2 linked regions of the Caenorhabditis elegans genome follow. The protein of the gene in region 1 purifies or fractionates together with the protein of each later gene. This does not show direct contact. Each region holds a gene or a part of one and is shown in the gene's direction. Other genes may lie near its edges.

Evidence for each region. Proteins that work in one complex are often made in the same cells at the same time.
Region 2: the proteins of idhb-1 (region 1) and oig-2 fractionate together in Caenorhabditis elegans (co-fractionation; one large-scale study listed by BioGRID). This does not show direct contact.

The regions. Positions count from the first base shown.
Region 1 is NC_003284.9:14,169,986-14,175,443, reverse strand, and holds idhb-1 (putative isocitrate dehydrogenase [NAD] subunit beta, mitochondrial), read left to right. Parts: upstream 1-2,054; 5' UTR 2,055-2,055; coding exon 2,056-2,281; intron 2,282-2,347; coding exon 2,348-2,547; intron 2,548-2,701; coding exon 2,702-2,902; intron 2,903-3,033; coding exon 3,034-3,245; intron 3,246-3,343; coding exon 3,344-3,589; intron 3,590-3,926; coding exon 3,927-3,981; 3' UTR 3,982-4,580; downstream 4,581-5,458.
Region 2 is NC_003280.10:13,005,953-13,010,683, reverse strand, and holds oig-2 (Ig-like domain-containing protein), read left to right. Parts: upstream 1-2,519; 5' UTR 2,520-2,520; coding exon 2,521-2,630; intron 2,631-2,674; coding exon 2,675-2,765; intron 2,766-3,899; coding exon 3,900-4,025; 3' UTR 4,026-4,071; downstream 4,072-4,731. Other genes in the region: F18A11.5 (BTB domain-containing protein), read left to right, coding at 30-131.

The DNA.
Region 1 (5,458 bases):
TAATCTTTTAAATTTGAGAGATATTGACGAAAGCGGTGATAGGGTCTGAAAATACTTGAAAGTGTTGAAAAAAAATTAAAGTATAAAACTGTACAAATGACTGTGTTTTTCTGTACTATAATATTTCCCCGGCAAGCATGTTTGTAGGCATTATTATCAGGGAAACAATCAAAAAAGTGACTAGAAGTGTGATTTAATATTTTACTGAAAGAGCTCTTTGATTAAGTATTTCATGTTGGCATGTAACGTTTTTAATAAAAGATATTACGTGAAACATGTGCAAAGAGATATATTTCAAGAAATCATCATGCACGAGGGTAATACGGTGATGAAACTTTGAACTGTTTGAAATGTTTGAAAATTTAAAAAAGCAGAAAATTGTAAAATTCTAATGATATTTGGTCGTTCTAGCGTAAGCCAATATAAGTGATTTTTCAACGCTATTCAATCTTTATATACATCTTTTAATATTTGTTACCATCAGCTAAAAACAAAGCGAGAAAATAAACTGAAAATGAGCCAGCAACTTGCAGAATCGTTAAAAACCTTTCCTTGTTTTTTCCTTATACGGCAAGAGGAAAGTTTTCTTCATCAATCAAAGAGGCGACTTTATCAGAAAACAGAGGATGGGAATTGAATTTGAATTGAAGAAAAGTTTCAGTTTTAAATAACTATTTTATCTCATGATACCAAAATGATCAAAAACTTTTAAAAAAGTAACTTAAAAAACAATATCATATTTTGTGTATGCTTTTTTTATAACAAAAACAATATGATATCATGCCAGTGTTCATTGACTCTAGATGCACAAAAAGTTGATGAAGGTGTGAAACACCAAACACTAAATGGAATGTACACTACCATTAAATCTCCAAAAAATCTAGTCTAGTTCAGTTCAGAGAGTATATGAGCAACTGGCTCATAAATACATCAACGTCATTGTTAATTAAGAATTATGATTCCTTAATATACTTAAAACAAGGAATCTTAATAAAATGGTTATCTGGCGTACTATGTATAATATACACAAATTCATAGTAATTTAATCGTATTGTTGGCAATTACAATAGGCGAAAACATGACGACACAAATTGCTTTATGAAAATTGGAAAGAACTTCCAAGTTGTCTCGAAAATGTTTTGTGAGTTTTTTAAAACTTTTTGCCAGCTAAAATTTTACAAAAATTACAAATAACAATTATTCTGTCATTCTTCATACTCCAAAAAATGTTAAATATTGAGAAACAATTTTGAAATCCACAAAAATCCACCCAAACAACACAAAACCTGACAGGCCCCTCTTTCTTTTTTTTCTCCCAAGACCACCGAAACAACTGCCACTGGCGATGGCCGCCGGCAAGGCAAAATCGATAAACACGCCAGATCGCTGCTGACACGCTCTTCGTGCACCTCGCCCGTTGTTCTTGGCGCACATCAGGTGAGCCTCATTTGTTTATTTATTCTCATTCATCAACTTGAGCGTTCTAGATTTTCACTTCGTTTTTGTGGATTTTGTAAAATATGTAATGAAAAAAGAGTTTTATGCAGTTTTCACAGCTGTTGAGAAGTTGTTTTTGGAAACTGTGTTTTTTTTTCATTCATAGAAATAAAATTTCACAGCTGGCCATTCGATTTTCTAGCACTATAATTCACCAGAAAGCTGCTACCTTTTACACTGTGTTTTTTTGAAATTTCCGCTCACAAAACAAAGGTTTACGCGCAGTAGTCAAGTAATTTTACTTAATGGTTGAAGTTTAACTGCAGTTTTTTAAAAATTTTTCGCTCGAATAATTCTTGGAAACTAAATAGGTATTATCCACCCAAAAGTAACAACTGTCCTTTTTCCCCCTCGCTGCACTCTCGCTCTCTGATGGCATGGCACAGCAAGGCTTTTATCGATTTAGATCTTTGATTGTAAAAGAAAACTAGAATGCAACTCTTTGGAAATTACTTGTTTGAGTCAAATATTGAAAATCTCCAAGTAGTGTAAAATGATTTTTCTCCTTTTTCCACTTTTTTGAAACCATAATTTCAATCAAACTCCAATGTTTTCAGCATGCTCTCTCGTACGGTTTCCTCGTTGAGCCGTGTGGCTCCGCAAACCCTCGGAGCGGTGAATGCAGCCTCCAGCCGTCAGTATTCCATTACTGCTCCACGTCCACCAACCGAGCTCAACCAAAAACTGAAAGTGACAATCATCCCGGGAGATGGAGTCGGACCAGAGTTGATCTACACAGTCCAGGATATTGTCAAGCAAACTGGAATTCCAATCGAGTTCGAGGGTAGGTTTCGTGGAGAAATTGAATACATTTGACAATTTTTTTGAAAATATAAGTTTTGATTTTCAGAAATCTTCCTCTCCGAAGTCCACTACACCCGCTCCTCTTCCATCGAGAATGCTGTTGAGTCCATCGGACGCAACAACAACGTTGCTCTCAAAGGCGCCATCGAGGAGTCGGCCGTTTTGCACACGGAAGGAGAACTTCAGGGTCTGAACATGAGGCTCAGACGCTCGCTTGACTTGTTCGCCAATGTTGTTCACATTAAGGTGAGGATTAAAATAATACATTGCTATAAAAGAAACATAAACGAAAAGCAAATGTGCGTTGTGCTTCTGGAACTTATGGTACAAGAAATAGCCCGACTTTCAGCATGTTTTCAGATTAAATATTCTCACTTCGCTTAAAACCGTTCTGTTTCAGACCCTTGATGGAATCAAGACAAGACACGGCAAGCAGCTGGACTTTGTGATTGTGAGAGAGCAAACCGAGGGAGAGTACTCCAGCTTGGAGCACGAGCTCGTTCCAGGAGTCATTGAATGTCTCAAGATTTCTACCAGAACCAAAGCCGAGCGCATTGCCAAGTTTGCCTTTGACTACGCTACCAAGACTGGAAGAAAGAAGGTACAATATTTTCAAAATGATTTCTGAAAAATTGGAAAAGCAGAGTTTCACTCTTAGTTTCTTAATTTCAGTTTACCAGAAAGCCCTGTAGCAACCAAAGCAATTAGAAAGAACCTCGGATTTTGTTTCAGGTCACCGCCGTGCACAAGGCCAACATTATGAAGCTCGGAGACGGTTTGTTCTTGAGAACCTGTGAAGGAGTTGCCAAGCAGTACCCGAAGATCCAGTTTGAGAGCATGATTATTGACAACACTTGCATGCAGTTGGTGTCCAAGCCCGAGCAATTCGACGTGATGGTCATGCCAAATCTCTACGGAAACATCATTGATAACTTGGCTGCTGGGTCAGTAAAAAATAAAACAAAACCTTATGAATCAGTCATAGAATTATAATAACAATCTCAAATTTTCAAAATAAAAAATTCATAATTTATAATTCCAGACTGGTCGGAGGAGCCGGAGTCGTGCCAGGACAATCTGTGGGACGTGACTTTGTCATCTTCGAGCCAGGAAGTCGTCACTCTTTCCAAGAGGCCATGGGACGCTCTATCGCCAACCCAACTGCCATGATTCTCTGCGCTGCCAACATGCTCAATCACTTGCATCTTGATGCTTGGGGAAATTCACTTCGTCAAGCCGTCGCTGATGTTGTTAAGGAGGGAAAAGTTCGCACCCGTGATTTGGGAGGGTGAGTTTTGTGGGAAGCAGGGATGTGCGGCAACCGGCAATTGCCAAAGTTGCCGAATGCTACAATTTTTGGCAACCCGCAACTATCGGTTGCCGAAATTTCGGCAATTTTTCGGCAACAGGCAACACAGCCCCGGTGGCAATACTAATATTTGTAAATTGTTTCAAATTTGTTTCAAAATTTGTTTTAATTTGTTTTCAAGTATGATAATCGACAGTTGACAAAAGTACATATTTGATAAGTATAAAGTTTATTCTAAATGTATTATTTTTAAAAACTTTCGCCCATTTTTACTGCCAGCAATTTGAAGAAACCAATAAATAAATCCCAATTTCAGATACGCCACCACTGTCGATTTTGCTGATGCCGTCATTGACAAGTTCCGTATCTAAAATGTCATAATCTACTACTGCGTCCTATAATTTTTTTAAAATAAATTCTCATTCTTCTCTAGTAGATATCTAGTGTTTTTGTTTTTCATCTACCGTTTCTTTTTGTTTTTATTTTCAATCCCCACCAGAACTTGTAAGTGTTAGTGCCTTTTTGTGTATATTTTTTGCTACGAATCAATTTATATGTTTCGAAAATCTTTTTATATCGACAAAGCGTACTCGTTTTTTTTCATGTATTCAACAAATCACGAACCCAATATCTACCACGTGGCCAGTTTTGGTCTTCCAACCTTTCCATGTCTCGTTTTTCACCATCCATCCCTCAAATCGTCTTATCTAATTTTACCATCCATCGATTTTTTTTCTTCCTTTTTTGCGATTGCTGACTTTCTACGGCAGACCACCCACCCGCCATTTCTCGTTTACATTTTTTTTTCAATTTTATGCAAACATGGAAAGTGGATCAATTCAAAGGCGAATGTTTGTGTGGAATGAGTCATTTTCTTCTTTTAAACTTTTTAATGGTTTTTTTCTGAGAAAATCTTGTCGGCTTTATGTACATCTTGAACGATCATTTAAGTAGATAAAATGACGAATATATACAGATGTGTAATTTACTTATTTGTCTGGAATTTCAGAAAAAGTTTTAATGTCGAACGACTATATTTTCACAAAACATTTTGAATTTAAAAAAATGTGAACAATAAAAAATTTCCGATGAACCAAAAATTTGCGGATTTTACTTTAAAAGATTAAAGTAATCAATATTTTTCATGATGAGACGTTATGGATTACTGTTTTCTGAAATTAAAACAAAAAATCAAATCTTAAAGGATAACGGAAAGTTTATGAAATGAAAAAGTAAGTTTTTTTTAATACTAAATTGAGCTTATGAAATCCTATTTTCCTAAATATTGGTGATTTTCAAAACAAAATGTATTACTGTAGTATGTATTGAGCTTAATGCAAATAAACACGATGCTTAACAGTTCAGAAACATTTTTCCGTTAGTTGTATTTTTTCATTAAGCATCTACGTATCTGATAACTCGGTACTTGTGTGATAGTTGTACCACAAAACTTTTTATTACCATATTGGTATATATCTACGTATATAGATATAAATTGTTGTTTTTTCCAGCTAAATGTATAAGCTCTGCTTACTTGGCATTAAACATTTTCATTAAATGCAAATATTATCGCATGGTTTTTTTTGATTCTAGTTCTAGTTCTAGTTAATTTTCAAAAGGTTCAATGATTTTCTTTTTAAAATTGAGTTGTCAGAAGATTAGAATCATTTCCTCAGTTACGAACCTTTTGTTTATAACTTTTATGGTCCACACCATGAACGTTAATAGATTTTTGTTCAATTTTAATGTTTTTTTAAAGCAGTAAGCTTCATTTATATATGTTCAGGAAAACGCTGATCGAAATAAGTTCAAAGAGATAATTTTAACAAATTATATCTAATTTTCACC
Region 2 (4,731 bases), on another chromosome or scaffold:
GAATAGAGAATGAGATTGTTGAATTGCAGTTGATGGGCGAAAACTGCTGCATTGTTGCCTGGGACAATGGTCAACAGATTCATTTGCCAAAGTCTGCGCTCAGTAAGGTTCCAGGAATGCTGCATCAGTGATCAAGAAGAAGATACTCGAAAATATAATGATTCCAAAAAATAAATAAATTATTTATATATTTCTAATTTTGCATTGAAGTTTAGGCTTGGGCTAAGACATAGGTTAGGGTCAGGCTTGAGCTAAGGCTTAGGCTTAGGCTTAGGTTCAGGCTCAAACTCAAGCTTGAGCTTATTCTCGAGCATTTGAAACATTGTTCGTGTCGAAACCAGGTTCCGTGTTGCTTCTGAAACTTTGATGTTCAAAAAATTCTGAAAAATATAAAAGTTGCAAAAATATTACATTCAATTTGTAAAAAAATTAATTTCTGAAATTTCAAAAAAAAAAGAACTGAAAGTTTATGTTTCTGGAAATTTCAAAATTTTTAATCCAAAATTTTTAGAATTTCAGAACTATTTCTTGAATGTTGTTTTTTTCGGAATTTTCAAATTTCTAGAAAATTTAAATACTTCTGAAACTGTAGTTTTTTGAATTTTCAGAATATAATGAATATCAGAGGTTTTGAATTGTTAGTTGTTTTTAGATACTGAAATAATTTTTGGCGATTTTCGGCTTTCAGAATTTTCAGAATATTTTGATTATTTGAGGTTCTGAATTGTTGGTTTTTTGAAAGATTTTTCCATGAAACTTTTTTGCGATTTTCTGCAAAAATTCCCACGAAAAATCTCAAAACTGGAAGGTATAAATGCGGTGACAAATATTAAAAAAAAACAATTCTCTGATTCCGTACAATTTTGCAAAAATTTCCAGCAAAGCGACAGGTATCTTCTGATCTCATTCACTTCAAGTTAACGTCTATATTCTTTTCAACTCAGCGGGCTCAAGTCCTCTTGTGTCTTTTATAATTACATGTAGCATTAGGTTTCCACAACGACCACGTCTCCGTGCTCTTTTTGAAACACCCATAATTTACATTCCATCAGACAGCTCGATTCTGATTGAAGTTTTCACTTTTTTCGAAATTTATGTATTGCTCCCCCCGGGTTACAAGCATATGTATAGTCGATTTTGAAACGATTTTGTTTCACTGAAAGTTTAAAAAAATGTTTTTTGAAACCTAGAAAAATGTGTTTTTTATTATATTTTCCCCAGAGTTGCATTTCTTTCTAGCAAATTAGAATGCCCAGAGTAGTTCAAAAAAATGTTTTGCCCCTTGTCTTTGTGATATCTTTTTCCGTACCTTCCTCCAAACTTCTCACCACAACCATTATATGGGCGGAGCCTAATAAACCCCTCCTGTTTCACAATTCAAATTTCCAGGTACATCATGTCATCAAAAGAGCTCTATAGACTCAAAACTTTCGACGATCACTATTTCGAAATGTCCACCGAATCAATCGGAGATCCTCTCCCAGATGGCAAGCCAAGTCCAACAGGGAAAAGCTTCCAACTATGTGATACCAGTTCCGAACGTCAAAGGAATTACCATGAAGATGGTTGTCACCTGGTGCATCCGTCATCGAGTCGAAGTTCCGAGCACTTCTACGTGGGAAGTTGACTATGTTAAATCATTGGATCGAGAGGAACTGAAAGATGCGATATGGGCCGCCAAGTATCTTCGAATGCCAATTCTTATTAATATTACTAGTTCTGAACTGTTTTTGCGAGCCGAAAATACACCGGTAGAGAGGTTAGATGAAGTGTATCCGATGCCGCACTGTGTAGGCAGAGCTCCGGAGAGAAGCACCAAAATCACCATTCACAAATTCAAATAAACTTGGATACAATTATTTTTGTTTTCTTTTAGTACTCAGTTCATAAATATATTAAAGTGGGATCCATCTTCGTTTTTTAGTGATTTTACAAAAGTTTTATAGTAGAAAAAAACAGAAAATAAACTGTTGCGTTCAATGCTGAAACATTTTTCAATGTTTGAAATGATAATTTTATTCGAGATTTCCAATGAATAAATAACTTTTCATAGAAGGTAGTTTTGGGAAAAAAAATTGGAAATTTTCGCGTCCAGAAAGTATGGAGTCCTATCAATGACTGAAAATATAAAATACTCTATAAGAATAAGAAATTGATATGTTAATAATCAGAAAAATACAATAATTAAAAAAATTCATAGAATCAAGTGAATTATTAACCAAAACTTTAATTCTATGCCATTTCAATTGCTGTTCATCGCGTGTATCGAATTCATTGACTTGCTTTGAACCAACAAATCAATCAATGCCCTCAACATTTTTCTCAATATTATTAAACATGTTGGCTTCAGAAAAAAGTGCTCTTTCATCTCCCTCCGCCTACTCATCTCTCCATCTCTGCCCCTCAAATCTCTCAGCTTCCGTCACCTGTTACTGACGGAATTGATCAGTGAGAAGCTCTTCGAGCGTTTTCATTACATATGTTCAGCCATCTTATTAGTTCTAAAAGGTTAGTTTCAGAATGGTTTTGGCTCCGTTTTTCGAGAAAGCTCCATCGCTTATCATTGCTCCAGACGGATCAGTTCTGTTCGAATGCATCTGTAATGCGAATCCACAACCAACAGTTAAATGGTAAAAGATTTTGGTTTATGAACCCCTAACCTTAACTACTGTAGGTTTTTGAAAGACAAAGAGCTGACTGGTGATCGTTACGTGTCAAAGATCAAGAAGATGGTTGGCAAGTTCACAGTTACACTGCATATCAAGGTAAGTAAGATTTTTGTAATACTGATAAACTGATCGGGATTCTAGATTAAGAAGAGAATAAGAAGAAAGGAACGGATAGAACACTTGATCTGGTTTTTAGAGGGAAACTTAAATTGTAAGAACATGGTGTAATATTGACCTTCGAAACACTTGCCTCGAGATTTTGTTTCACATTTATTTTAAAGTAAAAAACTTCAGAAACAATTTATTGACCTAGAAAATGTCGGCCATTCTTTTAAAAACCGTTCCTGGAAAGTTTGGGATGGTCTCCGGCAGGAACAAAAATTGAAAATAGGCTATACAATTTCGGAAAGTTTTTTTTTTCATTTATCGGAATCGAACATATATTTAAGGGCTGTGCGGTATTTTTTCGGCAAACCCACAATAATGTTTATTTCAAAATGATAATCCAACTTTTTTCATGCAAAATTAACATAGAAACGTAGAGAAAGGTTTGTTCTATCTGGAAAAAATACAAATTTTTTTGAAAAGTTTGAAAAAAAAGTTCAAATAGTGTCTGAAAGTTGTCGTTTGTCTAAACACTTTTAACGGCACTTTTTTGGCAAACGTCAACTTTCATGCACTATTTTTGATTTTTTAAAATTTTCCAACAAAAATAAATATGCACCATAACTGGCTAGATTCACCGTCGATGCACCATATCAAGTTAGATGCACCGTAACTGGTCAAATGTACCATAACTAGTTAAATGCACCATAACTGGTTAGATTCACCGTAACTGGTCAAATGTACCATAACTTGTCAGATGCACCATAACTGGGTAGATTCACCATCGATCATCAGCATAATTCACATACAATTTTTTTGAAATTCAGCTCAAAAATGAAGCTTGATGATGAAAATTAGGCAATGGGAATATTCATACTTTTTGAAAATAAAATTACTTTATATTAAAAATTTCAAAAAGTTGCTAAAAAATTGCCTCAATGCCGTAACACCCATCGGCATACTCACTTGGCACATTTTAAATCAAATGCCAATTTTGATCACTTTTTCATAATCTTCACTAAAATAACGCTATCTTCTAAAAGTACAAATACTTCTCTATATTTTCATATGAATTTCCAGAAATGAGCATTCTAGATAAGTTAATAACAAAGAAAATGTTTCCAGAACCCTACCCAAGAGGACCAAGGAGTTTACAAAGTGACTGCTACAAACACCCATGGCTCACACTCCGTTGAGCAGCAGTACATCTACAAATGCACTGGAAAAGAGGTTTTCAAGACTCTTGACTAAATTCTGCTAGATTTCTTTAATATTTCTTCCAATAAACTTTTCCGTCGCTATACTGTATCTTAATATCACTCGTAGAAGAAACAACGTGGTTATCATGTGATAAGAAGGTCAGAAATAGAGAGAAAAGATGTCAAAAATACTAGGAATTTTGAGTGTAGAGTTCAGAAAAACAGATTGAACAAAAAACGAAGTATACCCGATCAGGGAGATCGGTTTTTGGAAGGAAATAAAAATGATCACATGTGCAGAATAGTAAAAATGTTGATTGAGAAAATTTTGTTGGCGACATGTTGGAGTCAGATCTGTTCGAGAGTTCAAGTTGATAAGAATTCTAGTTTAAAAGTTTAGACTTTTGGTTTGGACATCTGAACTACAGGCTGATAGTTTAAACTGTAGGTACAGAATAGTATGAAAACCGTACGAGCAAACTTTGATGTCAATTTCCTTTGGTAAACATTCAGAATCAAAGATGGGAATGTTTGAAGACTTTTATGAAGTGTGCCAAATATAAAAGTACAATTTTTCAAAAAAAAAAAAAATTGAAAATTTTAATTTTGCGGCAAAAAGTGGCGCTAATTTTGTCGCCTAAAGTCTGAACAATGGCCAACTTTTCTATTAATTCATTGCATATTATTATTTGAAAGTTTTGAACTTGCGGCATTGCTACAAATTTCATATTAAGCTCAATTCTATGTAGTTGAAAATT